2 linked regions of the Lytechinus pictus genome follow. The protein of the gene in region 1 binds, or shares a complex with, the protein of each later gene. Links are inferred from orthologs where the notes say so. Each region holds a gene or a part of one and is shown on either strand. Other genes may lie near its edges. The genes, in order: RNA transcription, translation and transport factor protein-like; protein archease-like.

Evidence for each region.
Region 2: RNA transcription, translation and transport factor protein-like (region 1) and protein archease-like share a complex: the UniProt entries of both Homo sapiens proteins name them as parts of the tRNA-splicing ligase complex. The link is inferred for Lytechinus pictus from reciprocal best matches to the Homo sapiens genes RTRAF and ZBTB8OS.

Annotation. Positions count from the first base shown.
Region 1 is NC_087251.1:34,068,413-34,084,671, forward strand, and holds the start of RNA transcription, translation and transport factor protein-like, read right to left. Parts: upstream 8,072-16,259; 5' UTR 7,921-8,071; coding exon 7,863-7,920; intron 6,511-7,862; coding exon 6,386-6,510; intron 5,842-6,385; coding exon 5,742-5,841; intron 5,204-5,741; coding exon 5,123-5,203; intron 4,117-5,122; coding exon 3,965-4,116; intron 1,581-3,964; coding exon 1,532-1,580; intron 888-1,531; coding exon 733-887; 3' UTR 1-732. UniProt on the Homo sapiens protein: RNA-binding protein involved in modulation of mRNA transcription by Polymerase II. Component of the tRNA-splicing ligase complex and is required for tRNA ligation.
Region 2 is NC_087245.1:38,768,054-38,784,694, forward strand, and holds the start of protein archease-like, read right to left. Parts: upstream 7,235-16,641; 5' UTR 7,145-7,234; coding exon 6,916-7,144; intron 6,055-6,915; coding exon 6,030-6,054; intron 5,194-6,029; coding exon 5,183-5,193; intron 3,989-5,182; coding exon 3,957-3,988; intron 1-3,956. UniProt on the Homo sapiens protein: Component of the tRNA-splicing ligase complex required to facilitate the enzymatic turnover of catalytic subunit RTCB. Together with DDX1, acts by facilitating the guanylylation of RTCB, a key intermediate step in tRNA ligation.

The sequences.
Region 1 (16,259 bases):
AATTGGGAAATACCATTAGTTAATATTGAGATCAAAGATCAAGGTTTGATTATGATTTTTTTTTCAAAGGTTCATTTGATTCAGACGAGGTGATAAACTGAAACTACCCACAGTGATGGACCCAAATATACAATGAAAATAAAATGCACTGCAGAAACAGAATCCTTATGAAAACATACTGTTTTTTAAGGCAAATATCAATGGATGTCGCTAAGCACTTGGCATTTCATAGAAATTGGACAAGTAAATATGATATACATAAGAAAATGAATATCACAATAAAAAATCAAAGAAAACAAATGATACATACAACTCTAATAAAAAAGTTCAAGTAATTTTTGTTTCGGAAAAAGAAATCAACCACTATTCCTCCCTTTAAAGCTAGCAGTTCCTTAAATAACTTTAAGTAATAGATGAAACTGCGATTATAATTGAATAAACCACTTAATAGTACATTTAAACTCTGAATCGTTTTAAAAGAAATTACCCATAGCCACGGTCTTGTCCTTCCTAATTTGCCCTAAAATATTGAAATTTAAGGCCTGAATCCAGTTACTAGAAATACTCGCAATAAAAATAAACTACACATAACAAGAGCAATTACTTTATAAGTACATATATTTTTTACAAGTACAATAGGAGGAAATCCCATAGCCATACAGAATATGAATTCCATATTGTTGTTCCTATCAGTCACTGTGAATTAAATAACTTTGTGGGCGAGAGAAGACGTTACCGTCCTACTTTTCCAAGCCGTTGATCAGTCTTTGGATTAGCAGTCAGTGACTGGACTGCAACTATTGTTTCATTGATCTTAGTTTGAAGGTCTCGTAATTCGTTGATGTGAAGAAGTCGTAAAATCCTTCCGGCATCATTCATAACTGGATCTATGAATTATAGAGAAAGATAATGAAGGAAAGTAAAGTTTACAGAGAAAAAAATTAGAAAAGTGAATTATCATTTGTTCTTGTCATATTTGTGTCTAATGCCCACTGGATCTTCTTCAACATAATGTGATCCCATTTCATCTGTAGTTATAATCAATCAAATGAATTATTTGGGATTACTTTTACAATTAGCTCTTTAACATTTTGTAAATTCCACTTAGACTATGCCTCTTCGGTCTGACCGACACAGGGAGGTCTGTCATCAAATGTGTTTTAAATAGCTAGTCTTTAAACTTACATTTTTAGAAACTGTATAATATTCCAGAGTATAAAGTCGCCTATAATTTTATTTGTAAAGGGAGACACTAAAACATTTTGAGGGAAAAGTTCAAAGTGATCGAAAACTCCATATAAGCACTGCAATTTTCCTGGGATCACACTTGTAGTTCTATTGATTTATCCTTAATCTTCCATGCGCTTGGGATTTATCTTTCATTTTTCTTTGATTTTGCAATTTTCTCTCACTGCCCTTGCTATTTTGAATGTCGTAAGAAAGAGTGATCCACCAACGAGCCTCTCATGATAAAGAATATTGGTGGCATACATATGTATTATGAAATGCACATATTGAAAAAGGCACATACCTTTTGCATCGAATCCTACTTCATATTCGCTGAGGTCCACCTCCACCCCCTGCAATGTGAAAATATTTTTAAAATAATAAAAACACGAAAGGTATGCAATTATTTCAATCATCAAAATGGTAACAAATGGGCTAAGAAAACAATTATCAGATGACTTTTTTTTAATTTGATCATTTCTTTTAAAGGTTCAATATTCCAAATGAAATAAGGCTCATTATTCCACAGGTTTAATAGTCAGAAAACAAGATTTGTACAGTTCATCAGTTATTTTTGTACTCACAAATCTTATTATTTCATATTTGGATTATTGAACCTTGCGAATAATGAACCTAATTTCATTAATGAACCTTCGGAATAACAAACATTATCATATTGTTGGATCGATAAACCTTAAACATGATAAACCCTATTCCCGTTTCCGATTAACAAACCTTTATAATTATGTCACAAATTTTCATTTTTTGATCAGTAAACATCTTAGTACATTCAATCTGCTTCTTTTGGAATAAGGAGCGTATACCATAGTAACATATCAGCAAACATGCACTTTTTCTCAGCATTGATTAAATTTAACTCTGAATTTTGCCAAATTTCAATCACAAAAATGTAGCACCTTAATTAATACCAGTCTCATCAGACATCATGGAACCTCTTTGACCCGAATTCACAAAGGTGGTTTTGAAAACCCATGGTTGAATCCATGGTTTATGCAGATTTCCTGTATAAATTACGCTTAATTTAGCACGTATCAAACGCGTGTATAAAAAATTCCAATGCTGATGCGCGCTTTTGTCACAGTGCGCCAATTTGATACCCGTTACCATGGTTAGATACGCTATTTTATTCATGAGTCCACTGTTTGAAGAGTGAACTCATTAATTCAAAACAGTGGACTCATTAATAAAATAGCGTACTTAGCCATGGCGCACTGTGTCAAAAGCGCGCAACAGCATTGGACATTTTCTAATATACGCGGTAAAATAAGCATAATTTATACAGGAAATCTGCATAAACCATGGACTCAACCGTGGGTTTTCAAAACCACCTTTGTGTTTTCGCTTTGATCTCATCAAAGTACTGAAGCATATTCATGGTTTATTTCCAATTGGTCTAATGCCAATTCGTCCAATTGCCAACTCGTCTACTATCATTTGGTCTACCATTAGTTCGTCCACTCATCATATCGTCTAATAACCAGTTGGTCCAATAGCCATTTAATCCATATACCATTTGGTCTAAATGGACTAAGTGTTAATTGTGCAAAATGAATGAAAATAAAATGGATACTAGACCAACTGATTATGAGACAAAATGGTCATAGACGAAATGGTGATTAGACAAATTGATGATTGGACCAAATGGTTGTCAGACGAAATGTTGATAGACGGAATGGTATTAGACTAAATGAATGTAGACCATGTGGTTCGTCCACTATCCACATAGTCTACTTGCCAATTCGTCCACTCACTATTTCGTTGAATAACCAGTTGGTCCAATAGCCATATACCACTTGGTCTAATTGGACTAAGTGTTAATTGTGCAAAATTAATAAAAATAAAATGGATATCAGACCAACTGGTTATGAGACGAAATGGTCATAGACGAAATGGTGATTAGACGAATTGACGATTGGACCAAATGGTTATTGGACCAAATGGTTATTGGCTCAAATGGTTGTTAGATGAAATATTGATGGATGGAATGGAATTAGACTAAATGAATGTAGACCATGTGGTGAGTGGACGAGTTGGCAGTAGACAATTTGGCAATTTACCTCCATGATGAACTCAAATTAGTTATCAATCCATACAATCTAAAGCTATATTTCAACCATTAGCAAATATTTCTGTTGCTAACTTCAGTCAATTGTGAGAATACATCATGAAAAGCTTTGAGATGGAACAAAATAGGGGAAATATATACAATGTCAATTATGACTTAAATTCAGGTGTCACATTCCACACATATTTGTAAATTAAACTTTGACAAACTGGAAGTTTCCTTACATGACTGCACAAGGACTTGTGTGAGTATGTTGAAAGAGAATGGTACATTCAAATCAGTTCAATTTATAAGAACCACTCAAATCTAATACCCAAATTCACAAAGGTGTGTTAAATTTTTTTGACCTGAACTAATTTAACTGGGGTAACTTACCCTGTGGATTATAGTTAACCCAAGCTAAATAATGGGTCAACTAACCGTGTGAGTTATAAATCAATGATCACTTCACAAAAGATGGGTTAAGTAACACTCCAGGGATTAAATTTAATCCATGATGTCAAAGGACAAAATTTAACCCATGGGTTAAGTGAATTCACCTTCCTGAATTCAGGCCTAGTCATTTACATGATTGTCTGTACATATTTTTGTGCATAAATAGAAAATGACATTCTTATGTTACAGTTCAATCACTGGAAATCTGTCTAATACCTCTTCAAGTACCCCTTCCTGTGCATCATCGGAGAGTCTGTCTTTGATGAGAAGAGCAATGGCTTCCAAAGTCACAATAGGATCCACGTGTCTGGGAATCTTGAGTAGTGAACACAAGGATACCAGGCCCACCTTCACATTTGGACTAGAAACTGTAGGAAATAAAACATGGTTGCTCTCATTCATTACTCGCTCATGTGCACAATCTGAACACAGCCGTTCAAAATGAAGTTTTCAGTGTTTTGTGTTCGTCTGAAAATTAAAGTTATATCATTTTCAGTTTGGAGTATCCATTTAAGACTAGAAATTTGGCGTGTCCAAAAGACACAGATGCCCCCGCTTAACGCGGTCAGAAATTCATTCAATATGATTGAACTTAATATCGAGCAGAAACCAATATGCATATATATAATGAACAAATTTAGACCTTTGAACCAACTTTTATATATATTATGAGCTGTGACCTTTGACCTGCAGACTCCGAATTCGAACTTAGCCTGTTTTTGGTGTCATCTACCTACACACCCAAATTTTTTAAAATCAATTAAATATTTTTCGAGTTATTGCGCGGAAACCAATTCGCATATTTAATGAGCTATGACCTTTGACCTGCGGACTCCGAATTCAAACTTAGCCTGTATTTTGGTGTCATCTACCTACACACCAAATTTTTTTTTTAATCCATTAAATATTTTTGAGTTATTGCGCGGAAACCAAGTGGGGGACGGACGGAAGGACGGACAGGGGCAACGCTTAATGCCCCCTCCGGACTTCGTCTGCAGGGGCATGAAAAGGAAAAGTAAAGTATGGGTTCATCTACTGATGAAGAAACAAAATGGTAAAAAGAAATATGTACTTCATAAAAGTCTTTAGGTTCTATAAAGACAGTTGTGATTGATCAAACTCAATCTCCTCTATGAAAAGCAAGTCAGGGTTCCCCCCCCCCCCAATGGTAGCGGGTCAAGCTGGGTTAGATACAATACAATTTCAGGGGGTGTAATATTTGTGCATTACAATCTGGATTACAAGCTGGATTCACACCTGTGCCCCGAGCAGCGCGCATTTCTGAGAAACGGCACTGAGACAGTGCTAGTTTTCTACAATCGATATTGATTTCAACCAATCATAGCCTATCACTTAATAGTTCTTGATTTTTACCATCAATACTTGCAAAGGGGTCTTCCGCCATAGTTCCTGAAGGAGTCTTAGATGGTGCTCCTATTCCTTTATAAATTTGTGCTGTAAGATAAAAATAAACATCCAGTAAAATTGTTAATTTCTCAAGACAGCTCAGATACAATCAAGGCCAGTGTACAAGCAACTAAGAGACCATTGTCTTTAAGTCCTATTCAAGGGACCTGGTATTGAGGATTAATGCCTTCCCATAGGGGATTGATGCACTGACCCAATTCTTAAACCTTCTAATCCAAGCTGTTTTGTGCATCATTACGGTCGTGAGTTGTGAAAATGGTATGTTAATATTCAAATTTGACATTTGCTCCTGCATCAATTGCTCCGATGGAAATTCTGCACGTTAAGCAAAACATAAAACCTAACCTCAAAAAACCAAATAAACCCTAATCCTTATTGTTACATTATTCTGAACCAAAAACTCTGTTACAATCCTAACTCTAACCTAACCTTACTCTAATCTGAAATATTAAGACAAGTGTTCCAGGAGCACATGTTGTGTCACTGTGGGTAATGGCTTTACAAAACACCCACCCAGTCTAATTGATACGTTTATTTTCATCATTTAGAGAGGAATTTGTGTTACCCTTTTCTCCATACTCCAATCGAACGGCATGACCAAGAATCCAATCACACACTGCCAATCTATCACTGCCATCCAATGGACATTGTAAGTCTTGGATATACTGAAAAGAAAATGTAGAGGTACAGTAAAGAAAAGTAAACAAGGAAGATTTTCATTGTCAGAGTTGCAGTTGTTGATACTATCGCCTAGTCATTATCATCATTATAATAATTGGTATTAGTATTAATAATCATCATCAATCATTATCATCACCACCATTATCATCATCATAATAAATATTGTTGAGTGTTGTTGGTGTTTGATAATGATGATAATGATGATCATCATCAATCAGATCAACTTCATTAGCATCATCATTACTATCATCTTCGTCACTGTCATCATCATCATCACCATCATCATCGTCATCATCGATTGGATCAGCTTCATTAGCATCATCATTACGATCATCTTCATCATTGTCATCATCATCTCCTTCATCATCTTCATCCCCATCATCATCATACTTTTACAAATATTTACTGATCTTTATAGTTAGGAGTCATAAACAAGGCACTGTGTGAATAACTACTCTCAACTGAAATTACATAGAATGAATTTATTGTATTATGTTGACAAATGTCAATCAAGACTAATGGTCTTACTTTAATGAATGCTTTTGGCCACTGCGTGCTGCTCTTGTTCCTTAGAGCAGCTCTATCTTCAATCTTATACAAGCGAACCTTCTGATCTTCTAGCCATTCAACTAGATTCCGCCATTTATTCTCATCTGTCAGTCAAGGTGGAAAAGAGAGAAAAAAAGAGATAAAAATTATTATTTATCAAAAATAATAAAATTGGAAACTTGATTATAAATAATTACTATTGTAATAATAATTATTATAATCAACTTTCAAATTTTTTTATTTGTTAAATAATAATTTTTATCTATAAATTGTTTTTCAAAACGGCATTTTGTCACACCGCTTATCGAAGCTACGTCGAAACGAAGCGGTTCAACATGTTCAAGGGTCAAGCCTATTCTTGTGCGGTGTTTACGAATGAATCGAGGGATCTACACGAGATCGGTCTGGTAAGAAACCTCTAATTTTTCACATTTATTCTGTTTTTTTGCACCTTCATACGCATTAGCCATTAGGCATACTATACAGTGTAGATAAATAAAATCAAACAAATTTATGTGCCTATGGCAAGGGTTTCAAGGCTTCGTAGTGAATAAGTATATGTCAAACTATTAGAAAATATCATCACGAAGTCCTCAGGGCCGGCTAAGGCAGGGCAAGCCAAACCACGCCACTTGAGGCAATTTATATTGGCAATGCAATTATTTGATGTTATAAAATAGGTGTATTATTTCAAGCATCGTGATTGGCCAATATGCGTCACATGACATCCAACTTTTTTTGTGCACTGCACGGCAGTGCAAAAGGTGCGCAACGAAAATTGACATTGCACGCTCAAGCAGACTAGTGCGGTAGAAGTCCAACAAAATTGTATACCCAGTTGTGTGTCCGGACAGCGGACAGGTTGTGTGTCCGGACGATCAATTTTAGAAAGTCATTTGGAAAAATTTAAAAGCAGTTTCATCAATTTTTAGTACAAAATGTTAGGAAATATTATTATAATTATACAGAACAAAATGGAAGATGATTACAACTATTATTGAAATCATATTTTTAGTGTAGGCCCTAATCCAAAGACAAAAAAGAAGGCTTGAAAAATATAAAGTGTCCAGACACCCGACCCCCCCCCCCCCCCCCCCCATCCTACTGAATTCTGAAACTTTTTAAGAATTTGTTTGTCATGTTTGTGTTGCTATTTTATAAAACAAATAATGCACTTTGATCTGTCGTGCATAAAAGTAAATGCAGAAAAAGCTTGGTTTCTTCAGGTGGTGCACACTGGGCACTCCCCCTCAGCGGCTCGTGCATAGTGCAGCACCTATCTAAAAAAAGACTAAAGAAACCTCGCATCCTCTGCATTTCCACTAACGCACTCGGCTGCATGCATTATTTGTATAACATTGTCAATATCCAACAAAACTTTTCACATGTGGGACCGAGATAGAAAAAGGGTTTTTAATATCATTGAGACATTTATCAAGCGAATCAGAATAATTACCACAAACATTGCAATCCGGCTGCGGATAGTTCAGCGCTTGCAGCTTTCTCCTAAACATATTAAAAGTGAAAATGACAGAATATGGATTAAAACAGGTTGGTAAAAGTAAATAATTGTATGACTTCTTATGACTGAATCGACAGCACTGCACTCGTAACTCGCGTTGACGATTTCATCGGTCGAGCGCCAGCTTGCGACAAAATATTGTCGGATTTCTTTTTTTCTTTCTTTTTTTACAATTGGGAATTTTCTCTTTTTTCCCCCAGTCAAAAATTAGTCAATCGTTGGGTCGTGTCATCGACTGACCTCCCTATGCTAAAAAAAATTGACATTTCACTGTATTACCTACTACTTGCTTGATTTTTGCATCTTTACTTTACTTTACGTTTATTTACTTTCCTTTGCTCTACTCCAATCTAAAAACGCAATATCTCTATGACATACTACTCACAGATCTGGGGAGTGTTTCATCAACATTTTCATCCGACAAGTTGTCAGATCTGACATCTTTCTCTGATGTTGATTGGCTGAGAGGTACTGTTACTATGGTAACTGTCGGATAAAATGGGACTTGTCGGATAAAACGTCCGACAAGTCCTTTCATGAAACGCTCCCCAGAATACAGATCAGTGGCTCTACTCTACCCAACATGGTAACATACTATACTCCAGGGGCGTCCGGGCGGATCCAGCTTTCGTCAATGGGGGGGATTTTCACCCTCATTTTCCCCGATCGGGTGCTAAAAGTTGATTTTGTTGTTTGCTAATTTTGTTTATTTTTTCATTTTTTGTTTTACTAAAGACTGGAGATCAAAGTACAAAATATTTTGTTCTTACAAACGCGGTATCTCATTTTGTCTAAATTATGCGAGCTCAAAGCTGAGCTAAAAAGGGGCCTCAGTTGGCCTCAGTACTTATTGAAGAGGATAAATTATCTCGCCAATCGAAATGCGAGCGCGAAGCACAGGCTTAAAACTATATTTGATCAGACCTGAAAACTTTACTTTCTGAGCACTTTATGTATCATGCCTCTCGGATGGATAGGGCCCGCCTGTGAGCGCGAAGAGCTAGCCAAATTTTGAATATTTCAACCAGCAAAATTGAACAAAGCACGTTTTGATAAAGAAAAGGATATATCATCTCCAAAAATATATATGTAAGTGTCAAGGAGCGAGCTGTAGGCCTGCAGTACTGGACCGGAGTAACCCACCAATCCTTCCAATATTGACTTCAAACATCGGCCTAAATGTATGCACATATATTATGCAGTATAGTAGTTTGATTTTCATAATTATGTTATCTGCTGTTCTTTGATGTCCGTCCTTATATTTGTATTTGATTTATTAGGGCCTACTTTGTATTGTGTTTGAATAAAAATGACCGTAAAAAATTGAATTGAATTAAGTAATTAATTTGATGTAATAGCCGACCTCCATTCATCTATACACAACAAAAAAAGTAAGTCCCCCCTAAATCAAATTGCTGTAACTTTTGAACGGAGTTATTTTGAGATATGATATCTCGTAGGTGACCATTTTTGAAAGTGACAAGGGTCGTTTTTCAGATTGTGCAAATACGAAGTTGGGCAAAAGTTGTTTTTAGGTGAATTTTATGGTGTTATGCTGTTTTACTATCCATCACTTCGCCACTCCACACACAATTTTGATATCGTATGTTCATGGTTGAGTGAGCACAATACCGCAGGGGCCGCGGAAGCGGGGTGGGGGCCCACTTTTTTTTCCAAAAGCATGTACAAAAATGTAAAAATGACCATACGATTGTGATTTTATGCATGGTCAGCGCACCCCCCCCCCCACACTTTGAAAACCGTTCCGCGGCCCCTGTATTGTGACGTATCATTATAGGGGTTTTTGGTAGTATCCTCTACAACTTGTTAGGTCATATTAAAATTTAAAAATGTTGGTGGCTCCCCCGATTATAGCCCCCTCCCCCATTTTTAAATTCTGGATCCACCACTGATTTGTCCATAAATTAAACTGATCATGAGAAATTGTTACGAAAAGAATACATTTATGCAGTATAAAGAGTATTCATTCCTAAGTTTTCGAATGTGCTCGCTCAACCATGAAAAATGTTAAAAGTTCGGAAAGTGTGTGGTGATAGAAATGATGGATGATAAAAACAACAGCAATTAAAGTCACATTTGAAACCGAATTTGCCCCCCAATATTCACCTTATTACCCTTTAAAATGAGTCTGTGACATTGAAAATACCCATTTTGCCACTTTGATGCGTGCTCACTCATCCGTAAATAAACAAATCGATTTCATTTTTGCACAGAATTCTACCCATAGGTTGATAAACATTACTGCCAAATGACATTGCTAAAGACAGCCTTGAAAAAAAGTTCCACCATATTAAATAAGGGGTTACTTATTCTTAAACATATGCACCCATAATGTACACAAGTCTATGAGAGAGGAAGTCAAAATCTTAACAAATATGAAATAAGGGGTTTGTTTCATGGACGGTTTTTGTTACTTCTGCTAACAGTTATTTCATGAAACTTCGCACATCGCTTCAGAGTAACACTATCCAACAGGCGCGCACACCACAATAACAATTCGATACGGCACAGAGTGGGGCCAAGGCTTTGAACTTTCTTCTCATTTGCATAATTTTTTTATATTGTGTGCTCACTGATGGATTAAACATCGGGATTTTCATGAAAATCTAATCAAATGAACCAGGTTTGTGACAGATATCCATCGTTACAAATTGCATTTTTTCCAATAACGTAAAAAAGAGCTAATCACATTCCACATGTTCATTCAAGCGTGAATGTTTAATTAAACGCCTATGAATCATTAAAGCATGTTAATTGGTCATGAAAAAAGTTGATAAAAGATCAGTTTCAGTTACCAAAATGAAACAATACTTGCCTATTATATTTGAAAATCGTATTTTTTGTTTTCAATAAATGTTCATTTTAACCGTGAAACGATGAATAGTGTTGAAGATACTCTTCCCAAAAATTACTGTCATCACATTCTATCATTTTTATTGATGAAAATGTGTAAAAAATCCAATTATAGCAAATTTGGACTTGTGTTTATTCAACCGTGAAATTTAGCCAAAATATTGTATCGTCTTTTAGAAAGTACCTTTTACAAGCCTTCTGACAATATTTCAAGATGAGAATGTGGAATCAGTTCCAATAAAATGGAAATGAGTCATGATTTTTGGCTTGTGACGTTTGAAAAGTGACATTTTTGCCTTCTGACGGTGCTCACTGAAGCATGACGTAAAATACGTCCATAACATTTACTCAGAGGGTAGCTTATAAAATTATACACGCTCATGTAAAAATATATCAAAAACTCGCATTGGTTCGGAAATTATTGATGTTTGTTCAAGGGGGGACTTACCTTTTTTGTTGTGTATATATTGTTTCACCTGGTTAAAAAAAATAAACTTCCATACCACGATTATTCATTTTGGATAATCAAAATAATCCCGATAGAAGTGTTTTCACTATTTCATTCGGACGTTTATGGCAATTTTGCTATCCCATGGTAACTAAATGGATTCCATACTCCGGGTCCATACTCAATAGTTAATCAAAATCAAGGATTCCATGAAAAAAGGCGCGGATCCAGGGGGTACAGGGGGCACGTGCCCCCCCCCCCTTTGAGAAGCAAATTAAAAAAAAATTTATGTAAAAATTCCATTAAAATAGAGGTGAAGACTTTTTTTTCGGGTACTGCTTTTCCTCCGAAAAAATTGCCCCCCCCCCTTTGGAAAATCCTGGATCCGACCCTGGTGAAAAATACAATTGCATGGTAAATTAACAAAATAATAACTTCTATGCAGTCCGGGTGTCCCCTGGTGCCCAGGACAGGCGTGTTCGGGTCAATACCACTCGTTTCTATACCATATGCACATCTCCAAAACTGACAGTATCCGGGGACTGAATATACATACACTATCAGTGCAAAAACTACAATAGCAAGCTACTGGTCATTATTGTTAGAGCGACAAGACATAGGAAATTCATTTCTGGTATTTAAGGCTAAAATCATTTCGTCATTTTTATTTTGAAATTTCGAGTCCTTGCATCATCTTTATCATGTTTATTAGCAATCATTAGGCATAAAAAATTATAGGCCCTATATAGGCATAGGCATAGTTTTATCAATCTGATTAAAACTGACCCAACTCCCCCCTCCCTCCCTCTCGAAACGAAATATCCACAGATAAGTTTGATTTTGTGGAGTGACATTGACCAAAATTGCCCAGGCACTTCCACTTATTTTCAGATAATTCACGTTTCCATATAGATTCGAATCCAGTTTTGTCCCTGCATAGCGACCAGTCGGACCTGCAAAATCAAGCAAATATTAACAGAACATGATTGAACTCCCACAAAATATAAGGTGGGTGATATCATGCCTCACAAATTAAGATAGATGTCATTTCAATCGTTAACAGCACACGCACAAAAATAAATCCCTAAGTATCCTTAGTAAGTAAAACAAAACTTTTCCGTCACGAATGAACTTGGGTTTAATAGGGCCTATACGCTAATTCTCAGTGGCATAATGAGCCAAAAGTTTTTGAGGGGTGAGATATGGCATATTGGGCAAAATTCACAAAAAATTGCGACCGAGCGAAGTGAGCGAGCAAAAGTTTTGACATCTTTATTACAACATTAAAAATATATAAATCATATTTGACCATTTTCTCTTTTCTTTTTTTTCTTTTTTCTTGGTGGCCGGTGATTTTTTTTTTTCGGGGGGGGGGGGGCAAGCACCCCAAGGCCCTTATCTGTACGCCACTGCTAATTCTAAAACAAAAAGTCATGTTCTTTGTATACCGGTACTTTGTCCTTAAAAAAATCAATTCATTATTGAAAAGCGGGGGACTATAATTTGTACAGGCAATTCCTTGTCGGGGGGGGGGGGGGCGACGTGGGGGTAGTGACCCCAAATGGTACTGTGGTCAAGGGTGTTAAATTGATTGAGTAAATGACAGATTAACAAGCAGTGTATTCATCCTAAGTAAAAAAAAATTAGAAATAAAAAAGCAAACTTTTATTTGCTGAGCTGAGCTGATGCAGCATAGCAGCCGACAGCTGGCTCCTGAGAAATGTAGACGCGCCCTCATCGATAGTTCATTAATGGGTTCCGTATTTTGTCATCCACCAAATCTACGTTTTTCCACTTTCGGGGGCCAGGTTCAAGGATAATATTCGTATTATTAGGAATTCTACAGCGAAGGTATGATATGGATGTCGTCATTTCATATTTCAGTATATTTGTTAACAATTCAAATATTTTTTCTCGAAAATCACGTATTTTCTAACGATTGCGAGGAGTTTTAAATCGATTGAAAATGACACCCTTTTCGCCGCACTCGGCCTTGGTCGAGCTAGCGAACGTTGCCTTTAACTTACGCCTCTTTCGTTGGGGGCGATAACCATCGCTTCCCGATGGAAGCACTCGACTCCGGTATAGGCCGAAAGGCCGAAGCCATTTTAAAGGGATTGTCTGGGCTAAAAGTATGTATAGCTTAATAAATAGAGTCGAATTCACTGAGCAAAATGTAGAAAATTTCATCAAAATCGGATAACAAATAACAAAGTTATTGAATTTTTATTTTTAAATTTTAAGTTTAGCAATATTTTGTGAAAACAGTCTGACACTGACAGTCATGACAGTCATCATGAATATTCATTAGGTGGGCTGATGATGTCACATCTCCACTTGTTCTTTTGAGTTTTGTATTTTATTATATGAAATTAAGTTTATTCAAATTTTTTCCTCCAAGAACTAGACAAATTGGATTGACAACTGATTGAGTGCATTATATATTTATTGCTGCAACTTATTTCATTATAAATAGGGAGACATATTATTCACACAAGTATGAAATAATGAAAAAATTATGATTTTATGTATGGCAAGTTCCCCCAAGTCTGCGCAGTCCCCCTTGTCTGCGCACACGCGTATCTGCGCGATCCTAATAAAAGAAGATACGCAACGAGCACGAACTTTAAACATGCAATACATAGACAGGTATTCATAAAAAAAACACGACTCAAAATGGTGGAAAATAATGAATTTAGGGCATTTCATGTGACGGCCTCAAAATGCAGCCTTTCTCATCAAAATCCCCGAATCGTGTGCAAAGTGAATGCGTGCGCAGACATGGGGTATCATTTTTTTTTTCAATCTGAAAATGACTGCCCGAGGTTTTTTCAAGAAAATCCTATATTTTCTTTCATTTTTTAATGAGAAATTTGGTACACTTACTCTTAATAATGTAAGCAACATTATTAATTGAAAGATTTTGTGTAATAAGAAGAAATTCATGTTAAATCTTAACTCAAATTGTTAGGTGCGCAGACTTGGGGCCCACCATCATAATAACATAAGAAAACGGAAAGTGGAGATGTGACATCATCAGCCCACCTAATGAATATTCATGACAACTGTTTTCACAAAATATTGCTAAATTTTAAACTTTAATAACTTATTATTTGTTATCTGATTTTGATGAAATTTTCGGCATTTTGCTCAGTGAATTCTACTCTATGTATTAAGATATAAATATTTTCAGCCCGGACCATCCCTTTAACGTTACTTACATGGCTTAGCTTAATAGCCCTTTTTACTTAGCCAAGCCCAAGGGCTCACTCAAGGGTTCATTACATGCCACCGCACCGCGCACAGAAAAATCAAGCCATAGGATGGGGGGTCGGGTGTCCGGACACTTTATCTTTTTGAAGCCTTCTTTTTTGTCTTTGGATTACACTAAAAATATGAATTCAATACTTGTAATCATCTTCTGTTTTGTTCTTTATAATATTTCCTAACGTTTTGTACTAAAAATTGATGAAACTTCGCTTGTAATTTTTTCCAAATGACTTTCTAAATTTGATCGTCCGGACACACAACAACTGGGTATACTAACTGTTGACCCAGGGCAGCCGGCAGGGAGCTCCGGCCCACGATTCCACGAAGCTTCGCGGGCCGTAGCTCGGAGCTGACTGTAAATATAGCTCGGATTGTTTACTGGACTGAATCATGCCGAGTTGACATCTGGCTCGGAACAGCGGAACTTACGGGTTGGGTTTCACTGTGATTGAATCCATCGAACTTGGTAAATAAACACGGATGGTTTGATAATATTTGAGGTGTCGTCTGTCACCGCAATAAATGTCATGAAACTGTTTTTAACAAGTACCTAATCCATCCACCTACTCTAGACGTGATGGTCGAGGGGATAGGTATGGTGTTGTGACGTGACCTTAATTCGCGCGTTACCTAATTATGTGCACGGTCGAATATCTCAATATGTAATTGATATATTGAAAAACTGATATCACCAACAGAAAAAACGATCCAAAATTACTAAGTATGGCCTTTTCTTGAAGGGAAGGTCTGTCTCAATTTGTGAAATTATTGGCAAAACATCAGCAAATTTTGTTACCTTTTGCACGCGCTCCGATAAAATCTGAACTTCTCGACAAGTATCAAGAAATCGCCAGTTTGCAAGCAGAGGTATCCAAATAAGTAAGTCAAATGTTATACCAACCAAATTTATGGCATTTTAACCTCCATCTGATACAATTATCTTACCTTTGTATGTTTGATTTATTTTCTAAAGCTTTGCAAAATGGTCTAGCGCAAATTTAGATCACATTTTTTAATGACACTTTTTCAGCCGAGCGCGCACTAGTCGATTGTCATGGAATTTTGAGATCGCGATATCGGCGAAACCCTTGGCCTACTTTTGTAATTCCGTCAAGCTAATTTGACTTTGGAATCTTGCCTTCCGTTTGGAATTTATGATTTTGATTAATTTTTTGTGAACTGAGAAATTTTGGATTGAAAAACAACTTCATGATAAATTTTAAAATGTGCACAAATTATAGTCACCCCATCATAGAGGTCAAAGGCCCCTACCTTATTTTCATTCTTTCCCCATGATGATTTTGATTTATGTGTATGATCGGACCTCATGAGTCATGGCCTTGTGTGTGAGAGATTGAGACGGCTAAGGCACGTGTGTGCATACAGTGCAGCTGCCATGTGATATCATGTGACTGGTCATGTGATTAGCTGAGAGTAATGGATTCACTGGGTGAGAATGTCCAATTTGTTTACAGGTAAAGACTAAAGGCCAGTCGGTCCATTAGCCATAGATTAGGCATGGTCATAAATCATGAAGATTTCCTTTTGATATGATTGTGATGACATGTAGAATATTTCTTTTTTTTGTAAAAAAATCTGTTCAGTGTATTGAGATATCTTGTATATTATCAGTTTTTCTGCTACCCATAGAAGCCCCCCCCCCCTGTAGTGTTGCCATATTTCACAAGTCGGTGATCCCAAAATAATTGCTCAGCTGGGTGTAAAACATTTAATTTGGG
Region 2 (16,641 bases), on another chromosome or scaffold:
AACAATTCTCAGTAACAAATCCTTAAAAAAATAGATCGATGATATGGAAGAGGTTCATCGTGGTTAAGGATTGAGTAGAATAACCAGTTGTCTCATGATGTATCAAACATAGTTTGATACATCGTGAGACAACTGGTTATTTCTTCAAAAAATAGATCATGCATACAATGTGCTCTATACAGAAAAATTGATCATGTATACATGTGTAGTGTAGTGAAATAAAATGTATTTTTTTCGGCTATGAGTAAATGAAGTGGAAATTAGACCAACTCGGTACTACAGTACATGTAGACTACATGAGAATTATATGCTTTTCACACTGCATTTCCTTAACCTCATACTATATTTTCGTGGATTCACTGTCTTTCTTAACCCCATACTATTTGCTTAGCCAGGGTTAATGCCTTAACCCCAAACTATCACACAGCTCATGAATATTGATGATTTTACCATACAAAGCATGATTATCATGCAATTTTGGCTTGAGTTTCGACGTGATTGGCTAATGCTTAGCCCCACTTTTCCTTAGCCCAGTTTTGTTTCACACTGCATCTCTTAGCATTGCAATTGTGGTGCTAGCACCACAATAAGCCGGCTTACCCTGCTTGTTTGCACGGTCAGATGGTACCGTACTAATTACCGTGATAGCCACTTTGCTAAAACGTAGTGTGAAAACGAAGTGGGCTAAGCTTAACCCCGGGAAATTGGTGGGGATAAGACCCGACCCCCCCCCCCCTTTGCCCCACCAATTTCCCTGGGTTTAAGAAAAAAAAGTGCAGTGTGAAAAGCATATCAGAGTTACAGTAGTCTATGTGGGTATTAAACCAAGTATAGGGTAGACCCAATGACAATTACATGTAGACCACATTGCCAATTCATGAGAAGGCCAATTGAATATAAAACCCATACATGTAAGTAAGTTCACCCTGGAGTGATCCCCCACGATTGGGTTTTTCAAACGCATCCTCCATTGTGCATCATATTCCAACACAAACACTCCTTTATTGTTATGTGACAAAAGCATGCCAGAGAGTGGGCGCGCTTATGTCAATAGAAGTGTAGACTATTATCATACAGAATTCATGGGAGAACAGTCGCCCAGACAAACTAGATCTCAAAAACAAATTCATCTCGATGATCAGGGAAGAGTTATTTAGTCCTGTTTGTATGCTTCCCCTGGAAAATTCCCATTCACGATAATGCTTATCCAATGTTTCAGATTTAGGTAGAAGGTAGTAAAAAGTAGCCCCCGAAACTAAGAACAAGTGGAACGCCTCTGGCAGTCTCGCCTGCATTACGCAATTTAATATAGCAGCAGTGCTAACTTTGAAAACTACTATAAAATAATCATTCACAAAAACACCATTCATATAATGACATAATACCACGTTCATTGACCATAGATGACATTTGAACGGTGACTTAAGACTTGTCAAATACACCCATGTCCACATTTCATTCACTCTATCCATAAACTTTCAAAGTTATGATGGCAATTCAACAATTACCCCAACATGGCCTCAGTTTATTGACCTTATCTGACCTTTGACCTTGGTTTTGTGACCTGAAACTCACAGGGGATATTTAGTGATACTTGATTAGTCTTATATCCCAAGTTTTATGAAATAGATCCATAAACTTCAGAGTTAGGATGGTAATTCAACAAATACCCCCAACACGGCCAAAGTTCATTGACCTTAAATGACCTTTGACCATGGTCATGTGACCTGAAACTCGTACAGGATGTTCAGTGATACTCGATTACTCTTATGTCCAAGTTTTATGAACTAGATCCATAAATTTTCAAAGTTATGAAGGTAATTCAACAAATACCCCCAACTTGGCCAAAGTTCATTGACCCTAAATGACCTTTGACCTTGGCCATGTGACCTGAAACTCAGGAAGGATGTTCACTAATACTTGATTAACCTTATATCCAAGTTTCATGAACTAGATCCATAAATTTTCAAAGTTATGATAGTAATTCAACAAATACCCCCAACTTGACCAAAGTTCATTGACCCTAAATGACCTTTGACCTTGGTCATGTGACCTGAAACTTGAGCAGGATGTTCACCAATACTTGATTTACCTTATGCCCAAGTTTCATGAACTAGGTCCATATACTTTCTAAGTTATGATGTCATTTCAAAAACTTAACCTTAGGTTAAGATTTGATGTTGACGCCGCCGCCGCCGTCGGAAAAGCGGCGCCTATAGTCTCGCTCTGCTATGCAGGCGAGACAAAAATTACTTTTTGTCCGATGGGGATAATATTTTGGTTGTTTGACAGCTCTCACTGATTTAAGGAGCAGTATTTCCATGCACCAAATACTGCCTATTCAAATTTCTGAGATCTGATTTCCAACCTAACTTTCAATACTTTTTGTCCTACATGTAGGCCCCCTCCCCTATACACCACACCCCCAGAATGAATGGAAAAAAAATCAGCGATGTTTTAAATTTCTCAAAATTTAAAGTATATTTTGTATGTCACAATAGTAAAAACTAACTTCTACCAACCTTTTTTCCTATCCATCCACTTAGGGGTAGATCTAGGATTTATCAATTGGGGGGGGGGGGCACTTTTAAAAAAATCGACAAGCTACCCCCCCCCCCCCAAAAAAAAAAAAAAAAAGACTTGTGGAGACCATTTTTGTGTAACATTTCATGGACATGCCCCCAACAAAAAAAAGAAAAATTAAAAAAAATAAGAAGGGCTAAAAGGGGGCACATGCTTCCCCCCCCCCCCCCGAGTCAAGCTTGCTCCCACTTAATTCAGGGTTTAACAAACTCATGGTCTTCAAACTCTTAAGACCAGATACACATACATGTACATGAAGGAAAACTTTAATCTATGGGTCATATAGTTTGAAATCAATTTGAGAATACTCAGAGCTTGTAGACTAAACCAGTAAGCTCATTTGTCTCAAAGTGGAGCAAATATTGCATAAGGGCAGATCGAAATAGAGGAAAGATCATTCAATGTTTAATGTATGCTTAAATGTGGGCAGGTAGGAAGTGGGATAAAGGCACATTGTTCTACAAACAAGACCAAGCTCCTTACAATTGTGGGTCTGGACATGCAATGTACATAGAAAATTTTAATGCTTTGTCACCACTTGCGACCTTAAGCTAGACTTCTTTCAAAACCCACTTATTGATTGAAATTTCAATCATGGTCTGTGCTAAGCCCCCCCCCCTCCCCCTCTCCACCACAGCCTTGCCCAACTGAGCCAACCTTGGTCATAAAATGTTGTGTGGGAAAGGAGAAAAATAAGTTTAACAGAATGGTGAAAGTTTGAAAGAAATCAGACAAGCAATAAGAAAGTTATGACTGTTTTAAAATTGAGATTCCTAAGACTATGTAAATTTCAAATTGGCAACTGGCTAAGTAAATTATGACAAGTGGGAAGGACAACTTTCCCACAGGCCATGTTCTTAATTATAAGGGATTTATAGTTTCCTCTTAAGTACCCATTCCCCTGGGGCAGTAATCCAAATATAACTAATGAAGCATAACGGTTTGATAGCCTCATGAAAGAAAAATATAGTTTGAAATAAAACTTTTGAAAAAAGCGACAATTTCACAATTGTATGTATTGGAGTAAATAGCAGAGTAGTCCTTGCCTCACATAACTATGACATCACCATTGTGGCCAATTTGAAGTCTCCATGGGTATAGTGATTACCAATTTTTTACAACGTTTAAAAATTCATAACTTTCTCATATTTTGTCCGATTTTGTCCAAACTTTCACCCATGTACCTGTCTGATTTTTTTTCTTCTGATAAAAATAACTTGTTATTTAGGATGGATGCTCACTTAGTAGACTCCTATGATTTTGCAGGCATTGGCCTCTCAGACCTACATGTACTACCTATCAGATATTGTAAATTTTGAAGTGGTAATGATAAATGTCGATAAATTGCATCATGAAAAATTTTTAGTACTCACCGATTCAAATGAATCCTTGAGTGTTGGACCCCCTGTTGCATCAAATTTCTGCTAAGGAAATTTGAAACAAACTATTGCACACATCTGCATGCACATATTTTTTTTCAGGTACAGTAGTATTGGAAGACAAAACCAGAGTTACAAGGAGGCTCAAACTACCCTTCCAGCAAGGGGGCTGCATGATCAGGGGGGTTCTGATAGGGGGAAGGGAGGTGAACTAAATTTGAGGACTTCTTTCTTTTTTTTTCTTATTGAAAAAAAAATGTGGAACTATATATCTATAGTTCCATGACCATGCTCATGCCCTCTTTCCAGTAATCTTCTTTCTTTCTTTTTTTAGTTCTTTCTCTTCCCCTTTCCCTTCTGATTTTTCACCTCTTTTTTTTTCTTTCTAAATTACATGAAAAATCATACATGACAGGCACCATCCTAACCAAGGAGCAAGGCACCTAGCTAACATTGAAACTTCATTTGATTTCATTTATTGTATTTTTTTTTGGGGGGGTGGTATAACAAAGAATTGGCATATTATTGACAGTTGATTGTACTTTTTTCTTCTTTTTTTAGTTTCACAGAGACTTGCAGTTATGCTTCTAAAAATGAGCAGTTAACCCTGACGATAAATGTGTTTTAATAATTTCAACGGAAAAAATAACGAAAATATTGGTGTAGGTTGACAAAAATCTATGGAAGAGTTCTGAAATTTACATGTATAAGCAGCAGCCCAAGATGTCATATGATATAAATTCAATAAATTTCCATTTTTTTATGATTCATGATGACTGAATGTGCTTTAGTGGGTATATAATGACATATCTAATGACATGAATGCACAAATAAATCAATTTCAATTTTCTAAGAAAAATGGCATTTTATTGAATTTATGACATCCGGTCAATAAGAGAGCTACCAAATCTTTGATCTGGACTTCGCAAAATTTTCACCAGTAGGTTCTTATGTTTTTTCTGCTTTTATCAAAACCAACTTTACACATTTTAATAGAATAAGTGATTGCATATTAGAGGGTTGCATTATAAAATTATATTACAGGGCATATATTTCAAAATTTGGGATCCTTAAAAATCATATGATTCGCTTTACCCTGAATATTTTATAATGGAATTATTTCAGGAATGGCTTATAGACATATCATATATATATATCACAATGCCTATAATGAATTATTTGTATAAGGTGAATATAGTAGATCATAAGATAAAGGATACAAGAGTGTAATCTGCAAAAGAAAAAAGAAATTAAAAAAAGAGCAAAATTATTGCAACTTGAAAAGGAACTAAATAAATTCCAACCTTTGATCTGTCATAAACATTACCCCTAATTTAATGTCACAAGATATTAACATTAGAACACTGGACTTTTTTTTAATATGACTGATACTGATAATAGAGTTTGATCATAAAAAATGTTATTGTACACATAAGGACTAAGAAAACATCTGGGGAAATGGCACAAAGTTCAAGATAAAAGAAAAGTTTTAAGTAAAATAATGGAAAGTAAAATAAGAGTTCAAAACCATATTTAAAGATAAAGGTAAGCTGGCAAGGTCTACTTAAATTCAGGAGCAAGCAAGTAAATGATTTCGATTTTTTATTGATTTGAGGGCAATAAATGGATGGGGGGGGCATTAAAAAAAATATATCATAGCATATACACATGTAATATTTAACATAAAAGCTGAATAAATAGGGTTTCAGAATACATTTAAAAAAAAATTATTTCCCATCTTTCCAGAATGCTCCTGAAAACTTGAACTCAGTCATGGCTTTGAACTAAACAGCATGCATTCTTAACCTTTATATGGTAGGGAAAAAGAAAACTTACAGTACGGTCAGTAGCGTACCGTGAACCGGAGGAGACAAAGCATTGGGGGGGCACTGCATTGTCTGTGAACAATGCTGTGCCCCCCCAATGCTTTGTCTCCTCCGAGTCACGGTCCGCCACTGAGTACGGTACTAACCAAAAATGAAAAAAAGAAAAAAAGAAATTGGAGCCCTGTATTATTGCTGTAACTAAAGACCATGAAAAAAATGAAAAAGACAAATTATCACTCACTGGACATCTGCAGTATGATCCAAATCTGAAATGAAAAAAAAATAATTATGGTGATAGAGGTCTATGGAACAATCACAAAATTTCTGACATAAACAGTTGAAGGCTTTGGCTAGCTAAGGGACATTTTTATAGATTGATAAAATGAAGACTGAAGAGGATATAAATAGAGGGAAAAGAATATTCAAGAGGAGAAAGGTAAAAGAGTTAAAGGCATGAAATTACTGTTTTACATGTACGTCTCAATTTATTATGACTATGCTTTGGCAAGCTTAGTAATGTTGTGGATAATCTTGCAAACAGTAGAGGTGCTGATCCAAAAATTGGGATTGTCCCAGAAAACAAGGATATCCTCAATCCTCATACTGTAGACCAAGACAAATCATGTCTTGATAAATTGGGATTGTCTTTGTTTATGGGAAGTTTTTTTTCACTAACCCCTGAAGGAGACAGCAATTACAGGGATTGAGAGTGCTATAAAAAGAGATTTAGTGACCTCATGCAGTTCCCCCCAGTTCACCGTCTATTTTTCATGACTTGCCATCTTCCAATGTAATCTTGTGTAATAATGAAACCCGAGGTGAAATACATCCACTAGGTGACTAGCGCACTTGATCGGTGTCGGCACCTGATAGGTGAATGAACTTTCCTAGAATTCTTGTGCGGAGAAATCTTTGAAAACTGAGACAGTCCCTGTAAACTGGGATGATCCATCCCAAATTTCTGTCACGCACAAGCACTGCAATAACCTTGTTAATTGATTGAACGAGTGCCCTACTGAGTGTAATTGTTGTAATGAGCTACGGTAGCTAAACTAAAGTAAAGTCTAAAGAGTAAAGTAAAGTCAGATCCCCAAATTAACACTATAAAATTATTTTTTGGTTCTTACATTCATAGTTTATACCACCGGCTGGTTTATCATCTGCGTATAGAGGATAGTTTCCCTTTTGATGACCAGCAAATACGTGCAGTTGTTCTTCAGAAAAGTCCACAGGCCCAGCAGACTCGGATCCAGCAGCATCTGCGTCTCCCGGGGTCGAAGTCGCCCCGGTATCTCCGGCGGCGTCCTCAAGCTCCTTTCGCTCCTCCAGCTTTGCGGTGGTGGCATCTGACTCCATCGTTATTTTTGTCTTTTAATTTTTTTAGTTTTCCACAATTCCGTCTATTCGTTTATATTCCTACACTACCACCGTTTTTCTGTTTTTTCTCAGCAGCCACAGCATCAACGTAACATAAGAGCTGAGAAAATGTTAACACCGGTACTACGCTAACTATTACTGGGTTTTAATTTCGGATTGGTTAAGCCCAATTACTGAAGCAATATAATATGGGTACGGCACATCACAGTGCTAGTGATGAATCGGGCCAGTGCTCGGGCCGCGCGCCGGGGTTCATGATCGACGTGAAAATCCAAATTTCGCAACCCTATGCAACAATCTCGACTGCACATGCAATAACAATGGCAAACTATGGGCGGCCGTTTATAACAAAATTAAATAAGAATCCCATAAGGATTTCTTCTTTCCTGAAATTTTCCTTAAATTTACGAGGAAGTGAAGCAAATATATACGCAAACAAAACTCGAACACTTAGTCCCAATATTTTGAACAAGATTCATTGCACTACAATATTTTCTGTTTAAACAGATTTGCATCTATAGGGCTTATACGCCGGTAGAATATAGCAGGGGCCGCGGAATGGTTTTCAAAGTGAGGGGGGGGGGGCTGACCATGCACAAAATCATATGGTAATTTTTACGTTTTTGTACACGGTTTTGGAAAAAAGTGGGGGGGGGGGGGCTTCAGCTTCCCCGGCCCCTGTATAGACAGGGATAGACATGGGCGGATATCTCTCCCCAAAGGTAGGGGGGACCAGGCGCAGATGAAGGACTTTCCCCCCGGAAAATTTGAAAAGCAAAAAAAAAAGATTATCACCCAAAATGTATGGTATTTTCGTCCAAAATAAATTTGACAAGCACAAAAAAGGGTATCACTTTCAATGGGGGGGGGGGGGCACACTTAATTGGAGAAAAAAAATTCTATTACAAATTTTGATTTTAAATGATGTATTTTTTCCATCATAAAAGACCACAAATAGTAGGGGGACATTTGATAATGTGTCCCCCCCCCCTTTCCAAATGGTAGGGGGCGTGTCCCCCTGTCCCCCCTGGGATTTTGGCCCATGTATATAGAGGATAGGTGGCTACCGTAATGGGCGGCCTCAACACCCCGGCCCACGACAGTCCCAATACAAAACACACAAACCCAGACACAATTATAAGTTTCAAGTTTATTTTTATTGATTTGAAATCCAAACATAAATGATCACAATCAAAATAAAATGAACAATTTTTTTACAAATTATCGAACATAAGTTACAATGATATATTAACATTTCTAACAATAAATAGAGTCACAAATATATATATATATGCTGTCTGATACACATAACTAAAAAAACAACTTTAACAGAGAATGTTAGACTTTTCTTTGAAGTGTCACGACCTACATGCCTCCAAAATAATCTGGCCTATGTGAGGTAACACTTTTTAAAAGAATCTATGCGTTTTTTGTTACTGTCAAAAGTCGAGCTGTTATTTGTTATGTATTTCATATTGTAAAATATTTACTTTCTAATTCTTTTCTTTTCAAGCCCTGAAAGGGCACGTAGGCCATATAGTAGCCTAGCTATATACTATATTATTGGGTAAATTCTTGTCAACAAGCATGCGTAATATAAGTCTATATCATTTCAAGGGAAACAATTCTATAGGCCTATGATATACCCAAAATATACAGAGTTGTTATTAGCGCCAGAATAGACTACAAAGTAAGTTCTACGAGTTAAGATTTCAAATTGATCATAAACCGCTCGCTCTCAGAATATACAACTTGTATAAATACTTTACTTTGTATTTCAATTATTAAAAATATCCTATGGAAAAAGCGTTTTGCTTACATCTCCACGAAAGACACAGATACTTCAGGCGAAAACACAGTGCATGCATGCATGCCTCTGTTTTTACTCCAAATCCCCTTCTGACATGTTATGTTATGTTATACCGAGGTTTTTACCTGACTGCTAAGAAAGCAAGAATGCCTGTGAGCAAGCAACCAGGGGACCAACGGCTTAAGGTCCTTTCCGAGGGACCTGGTAATGAGGATAAATGCCTTACCAAAGGGCACTAGCGCACCACTTGGGAATCGAACCCGGGTCACCGGAATCCGAAACCCCCGCTCTATATAATATACCGACTGAGCTATCGCGCCTCTTAAACACAAGCTTTTTTTTTTGCCTTGCCGGATCGACCCCGAAGAAAATACGTTCTGTCGCCCCTGATTCCACATGTAGGGACGGATCCAGATTTCCAAGAAGAGGGGGTGGGGGGTTCTTCACTCCCAAAAATATTTATAAGAAAAAAATTGACGAAATGCATGGAAATCATTTTGTTCCAGGAAAAGTTTGGCAAGCCCAAAAAATAAGGGTCCTCACAGTGCGTTTTTTTCCTTCTTTTTTTTTGCCTTGACTTAAAAGAAAATACGTTCTGCAGCCCCTGATTCCACATGTAGGGACGGATCCAGATTTCCAAAACAGGGGGGGGGGGGGTCTTCGATCACTCGTCTCCCAAAAATATTTATAAGAAAAACTTTGACAAAATGGAAATCATTGTTTTCCAGGAAACGTTTGGCAAGCAAAAAAATAAGGGTCCTCACTTGCGTTTGCACGACATATACCCTTTACAAATATTGTTTATGTCTCTCAAAGGGGGGGGGGGGCGGGGATGGGGGACGCGGGCCGGACTTCCCTTGAAGAGGTATACTCTCCCAAAAAGCGTACACGCTGGAGAGTGAACCTTGAAGAAGGCACCGGCCCTGGATCAGCCGGCTGGCCACATTTCAGACACATACGTATGATTATTTAGAGGGGGTATATGCTTTAAAAAAAAAAATTTGCATCAACAGTGCCAGCAAAACTCAGCTTCATGTATACTTCATCCGCAATCTTCACACAACGTAGGCCTATACTAAACCACATTTAAGCTCTAACAACCAATAAAAATTATCTTCAGTTTAATACTTTCAGCTGAAATCAACGGTCGGACCTTAATGGAGGAAGCTAGCTAGCTAGGATACAAGAGAGAGAGAGAGAGAGTGCCCTTTATGCCACAAATTTTGAGGGGGCCAGTATCTGGCAAAATGTACAATTGAGCGAGCACTGTCACGTGCACAGCAATGCCTAACATTTTTATTGACAAAAATCCAATTTTGTGATAGATTTTGACATAATATTCAGAAAATTTACCTTTCTCTCTTTCCTTAATTTTCTCTTATTTTCCTTGGTCGTGATTTTTTTCTCTTTTTTTTTTTTGGGGGGGGGGGGCGCCCCTCCCCCTCCCTCCATCTGTGTACCAGGCACTGAAGGTGAATCGTCGTGTATTTTTTTTTTACTTAAACTTCAATTCTTTTCTTTCTTTTTCTATACGTGTTGGTTTTATCAGAGCAAATTTTGTTCCTTTTGGCTAGCCATACAGAACGCGCCTGCGCAAATCACATTCAGTAGATCGGCGAACAACAAACCAAGTCCAAGACCAAACCAAACGAGGGAATCTCACATCACGTCACCAAAATTGTCAGATGAACTAAGAACCAGATCAGATTTGGTAATGACAGTTAGCATGTAAAGTCTTTGTAGCATAAGCATGATGACTATCTATTTTAGATCCAAAGAAATTTTGCAATGGAATTTAACAATCGAATTTTATCTGTATTATTTTGAGCTGGCACATGTTGAGTGGACACACACGAGACTAACAGTGTGCAGTTGTGTGTGAAGAATAATGTGACGTCTGTGGGGTGTGTGAATGTGCATGTGGTTGAAGCTGCACTGCACTGCAAGCCACATGCTACTTTTAATTTCCAACATTTAAACGCACACTCCAAAAAGTGCAGTGATAGCTTTTGTATAAAAGAAATACTTAATTCCAGGGTTGCTGGATGGTATCCAGACAATTGTCTTTTTAACTTTAATTGTAACTAGAGTAGTTACTACTAGTAGTAGTACTACTACTAGGCCAGGGACTTTTACTTTTAGGGTCTATTTCTGTAGCGTGGGTGTACCGTATATGTTACAAAAAAAATAATTGAGAAATGAGTTTTTAGATCTCATCAAGACCTTTCATTTAATACCTCATTCATTTCAATAGCCCCAGTATAACAAGAAAGTTATGGTAGTTTTAAGTTCGTACAAATCGCCTATCCAATTCTTATGACTGTATTCCTTTGTTTTTTAAAACAAAAGTTGGGACCTTAATTGGGACCAAGACGCACTATATTAAAGGAGAATGAAACCCTTGAAACCAGCTGAATCCATATCAAAGAGAAAAATCAAAGAAACGTATTGTTGAAAGTTTGAGGAAGATTGAATGAATAATAAGAAAGTTATGAGCATTCGAATATTGAGATCACTAGTGCCATGTAGATCCTCCCAACGGCAATGCGACCAAGATCTGTGATATCACACACGTACAACTCCCTCATTACTTTAGTACTTATTTCACTTAAATTCTCACTTTTATAGAGTCTATCACATGGTGAGGTGTTCTCTTTATGAGATGACAAGTACAGAGGTTTCACAACATTATATCATTGATGAATCGTTTGTCATATGATTAGAATGAGCAAAAATAGATGTTTTGGGGTATATGTTCAGTGTCCAAATGGGAGAGTTGTACGTGTGTGACATCACAGATCTTGGTCGCATTGCCAATGGGAGGATCTCCATAGCATTAGTGATCTCGACATTCAAATGCTCATAACTCTTTTATTGCTAGTCCTATTTTACTAAAAGTTTTGTTGATCTTATTCTTTGATTTTTCTGCTTTCACAAAAGCTAACTTGCTCCAAGAGTTTCATTCTCCTTTAATATGATGGTGGGCCCCAAGTCTGCGCACCTAACAATTTGAGTTAAGATTTAACATGAATTTCTTCTTATTTCACAAAATCTTTTACTTAATAATATTCCTTATATTATTATTAGTAAGTGTACCAAATTTCTCACAAAAAAAATGAAAGAATATATAGGATTTTCTTGAAAAAACCTCGGGCTGTCATTTTCAGATTGAAAAAAAAAATGGTTCCCCATGTCTGCGCACTCATTCACTTTGCACACGATTCGGGGATTTTGATGAGAAAGGCTGCATTTTGAGGCCTTCACATGAAATGCCCTAAATTCATTATTTTTCCATCATTTTGAGTCGGATTTTTTTATGAATACCTGTCTATGTATTGCATGTGTAGAGTTCGTGCTCGTTGCGTATCTTCTTTTACTAGAATCGCGCAGATACGCGTGTGTGCAGACACGGGGGGACTGCGCAGACTTGGGGGAACTTGCCATACTAGGAAACAACAATGCGCATACATTGGCATACGGAAGTGCACAACAACACTCCCCAAAATTACAGACGTCGCCGAAACAGGGACATAAAAAACACACTGAGCGTCGGTAGATTTCTTTCAAATTTCACCACAAAGTTGTTGAAATGTTCTATCGGAATGAATACCTTTTAGAGTGGGATGATACCTGTAAAGAATAGCAAGAGGTTGAAAGCAAGACTTAAGTTCCAGTAGCACACAGAGTCGCAAGATCACCGAGGGAGATTTTTTTCAAGTCTAGACAGCTGCCATAGACATTCAACTGCGTAAAAACAATGATGTCATGGGGAATAACCTTTTCTTGCACATGCAAACACAATACAAAGCAATGCCCCTACAGTCAACCTGTGGTTATAGGCAGCACACTCAATGTCTCGTTCAGAATGCATCTAGAGGGTGCTTTTGTAACATACCTAATTTCTGGTAGATTCTAAGGTTAGACTTAGCCAGGCCAGAAGGCTCTTCGAGAGTAAAAATCATTGACTAACGTATGCTTACTCTCCACAGAGCCAGGGATTCGATTGCGTTCATCTACACGTGCCGCCAAAAAACCTCAAACTTTCGCCCCCGAGATTTCTACTTTCTAAAAGATCTAGCCCTTAATCATGTATGGGATTACCTCAGGCGATGTTCGTGCAGGCTCCACTTCACTACCGCTACACTACGCTCCACCTACCCGAACATCGGGACAGTGAACTAGATCGGATATTCCGAGTCATAAAAGGTGGGATGGCAATCATCGTAAAAATTAAAGAAAAAAATTATAACGAGGGATATGAATGACTTAATATCTTACTCTACACCCGTATTTCACTCCGTGTCCATCCTCCGGTTATCCTCAAAATTGGTGATTTTGGGCCAGTATCTTTTTCCTCACACGTATTATTCACGGCCGATTTCAAAACATCGCATGCGATCGGTCGCTGATCGATGGGGAAGAACAATAGGGGAAAAAAAGAAAAGATTTTTACTCTCTAAGAGCCTCCTGGCTAGTTAGACTCAGAGTCTGGTCATAGTCTCATAGAGTCGTAATTAATCAGTCTCCACAAGATAATTTTCAAAATACTGAATAACTTTTATCGCTAATCAGAACCACAATGCGTTATGGGATCGAAAAGGGGGCAAGCAAGCTAGCTACGCGCACTGTCTGCAGTGCGCGTAGCTTCTTTTTCTTTTTATGTGCCCATCCTACGCCTACGGGACGTATTATGGTATCACGCTTAATGTTCATCTGTCCGTCTGGCATCTGTTAACTTTTCTTTGTAAACGCGATAACGTCAGTTTAACTTAACCTATTCTCATATAGTTTGGTGTGTATGATACTAGCATGGATCCCAGGAAGCCTATTAATTTTGAGGTCAAAAGGTCAAGTTCATAGTGACATGTTTTCATCTTACCCTTCTGAAAACCGCGATAAAAAAAAAAACGTGATAACTTCAGTTTAACTTAAAGGAGAATGAAACCCTTGAAACCAGCTGAATCCATATCAAAGAGAAAAATCAAAGAAACATATTGTTGGAAATTTTAGGAAGATTGAATGAATAATAAGAAAGTTATGAGCATTTGAATATTGAGATCACTAATGCCATGTAGATCCTCCCATTGGCAATGCGACCAAGATCTGTGATGTCACACACGTACAACTCCCTCATTACTTTAGTACTTATTTCACTTATATTCTCACTTTTATAGAGTCTATCACATGGTGAGGTGTTCTCTTTATGAGAGGACAAGTACAGAGGTTTCACAACATTATATCATTGATGAATCATTTTGTCATATGATTAGAATGAGCAAAAAGAGATGTTTTGGGGTATATTTTCAGTGTCCAAAAGGGGAGAGTTGTTCATCAGTGACATCATAGATCTTGGTCGCATTGCCAAAAGGAGGATCTCCATAGCATTAGTGATCTCGACATTCAAATGCTCATAACTCTTCTATTGCTAGTCCTATTTTACTCAAACTTTTGTTGATCTTATTCTTTGATTTTTCTGCTTTCACAAAAGCTAACTTGCTCCAAGAGTTTCATTCTCCTTTAAATAGCAAGCCTGACCTATAGGCTCATATAATTTAGTGTGTATGATACTGGCGTAGATCCCAGGAAGCCTATCGATTTTGAGGTCAACATGAACAGGTCAAAGGTCAAGGTCATAGTAACACGTTTTCATCTTACCCTTCTGAAGTCCAAGTTGTAAACGCGATAACTGTAGTTTAAAGGGATGGTCCAGGCTGGAGATATTTATATCTCAATAAATACAGTAAAATTCACAGATCAAAATGCTGAAAATTTCATCAAAATCAGATGACAAATAATTTTAAGTTATTGAATTTTAAAGATTTGCATTATTCCGGTAAAACAGTTCTAGGCATGTCTTTATGAATATTCATTAGGTGGGCTGATGATGTCTTATCCCCACTTGTTCTTTTGTATTTTATTATATAAAATTAGGTGTTTTTTTTTTTTCTACAAAGAACTAAAACAATTGGATTGACAACTGATTAAGTGCATAAGTTTTTTATTGCCGCAACTTATTTCATCATAATGGAGACACATCATTTACACATGTATGGAAAAATGAAACAATTATGGTTTCATGTAATAACATTAAAAAAAGGAAAGTGTGGACATGACATCATCAGCCCACCTAATGAATATTCATGACGATGTTCACAAAATATTGATAAACTTTAAAATTCAATAATTTCTTTATTTGTTATTCAATTTTGATTAAATTTTCAGCATTTTGCTTTGAGAATTTTGTTTATTTATTTAGATATGAATATTTACAGCCCGGACCATTCCTTTAACTTATATAGGCTCATATCATGGATCCCAGGAAGCCTATTGATTTTTAGGTCAAAAGGTCAAGTTCACAGTGATATGTTTTCATCTTACCCTTCTGAAAACCTTGCAAACACAATAATTTCAGTTTAACTTAACCTAGGCTCATGTACATGTAATTTAGTGTGTATGATACTGGCATAGATCCCAGGAAGCCTATTGATTTTGAGGCTAAAGGTCAAGATCACAGTGACGTGTTTTCATCTTACCCTTCTTAAGTCTTTTGGCGTGTTTCTACAGAGAATCGTTAAATCGGTTTATCTTTTCCGGAATAAAAAAACCATTTCGCCCTTAAACCAACTTGTTTCTACAGAGCGAATAATCCGATTAACTCAGATTCCGCGTTGCAAATAAACAGATTAATACGGCAATAACTAAGATTAGCAATGACCACCTCCCAGAGGTGGTTATGAGAAACTGTATTTGGCGCTATGCAGTTTGTCAATAAATCGCATCGCGTCAGTTATAGGGAAATTTTCTTGTTAAAGGAGAATGAAACTCTTGGAGCAAGTTAGCTTTTGTGAAAGCAGAAAAATCAAAGAATAAGATCAACAAAAGTTTGAGTAAAATAGGACTAGCAATAGAAGAGTTATGAGCATTTGAATGTCGAGATCACTAATGCTATGGAGATCCTCCCATTGGCAATGCGACCAAGATCTATGATGTCACAGATGAACAACTCTCCCCTTTTGGACACTGAAAATATACCCCAAAACATCTCTTTTTGCTCATTCTAATCATATGACAAACGATTCATCAATGATATAATGTTGTGAAACCTCTGTACTTGTCCTCTCATAAAGAGAACCTGTCTCACCTTGTGATAGACTCTATAATAGTGAGAATATAAGTGAAATAAGTACTAAAGTAATGAGGGAGTTGTACGTGTGTGACATCATAGATCTTGGTCGCATTGCCAATGGGAGGAACTACATGGCATTAGTGATCTCAATATTCAAATGCTCATAACTTTCTTATTATTCATTCAATCTTCCTCAAACTTTCAACAATGTGTTTCTTTGACTTTTCTCTTTGATATGGATTCAGCTGGTTTCAAGGGTTTCATTCCCCTTTAAACAATTTTCTGTAGAAACACACCGCTTGTAACGCGATAACTCTAGTTTAACCTACATGTAGGCTCACATATTTTAGTGTGTATAATACTAGCATGGTTCTTAGGAATTTTGAGGTCAAAAGGTCAAGTCGCCACTTTCCTTGCTTGACCAATAACTCAATTTTTCGTGTTACAGGTGGGCTTATGGTTCGCTCAAGCGACACTCCTGTTTTGGTTAAGCAAAAGCAAATATACAACTATACAAATGCTTTTTTTTTTGTGAGTAAA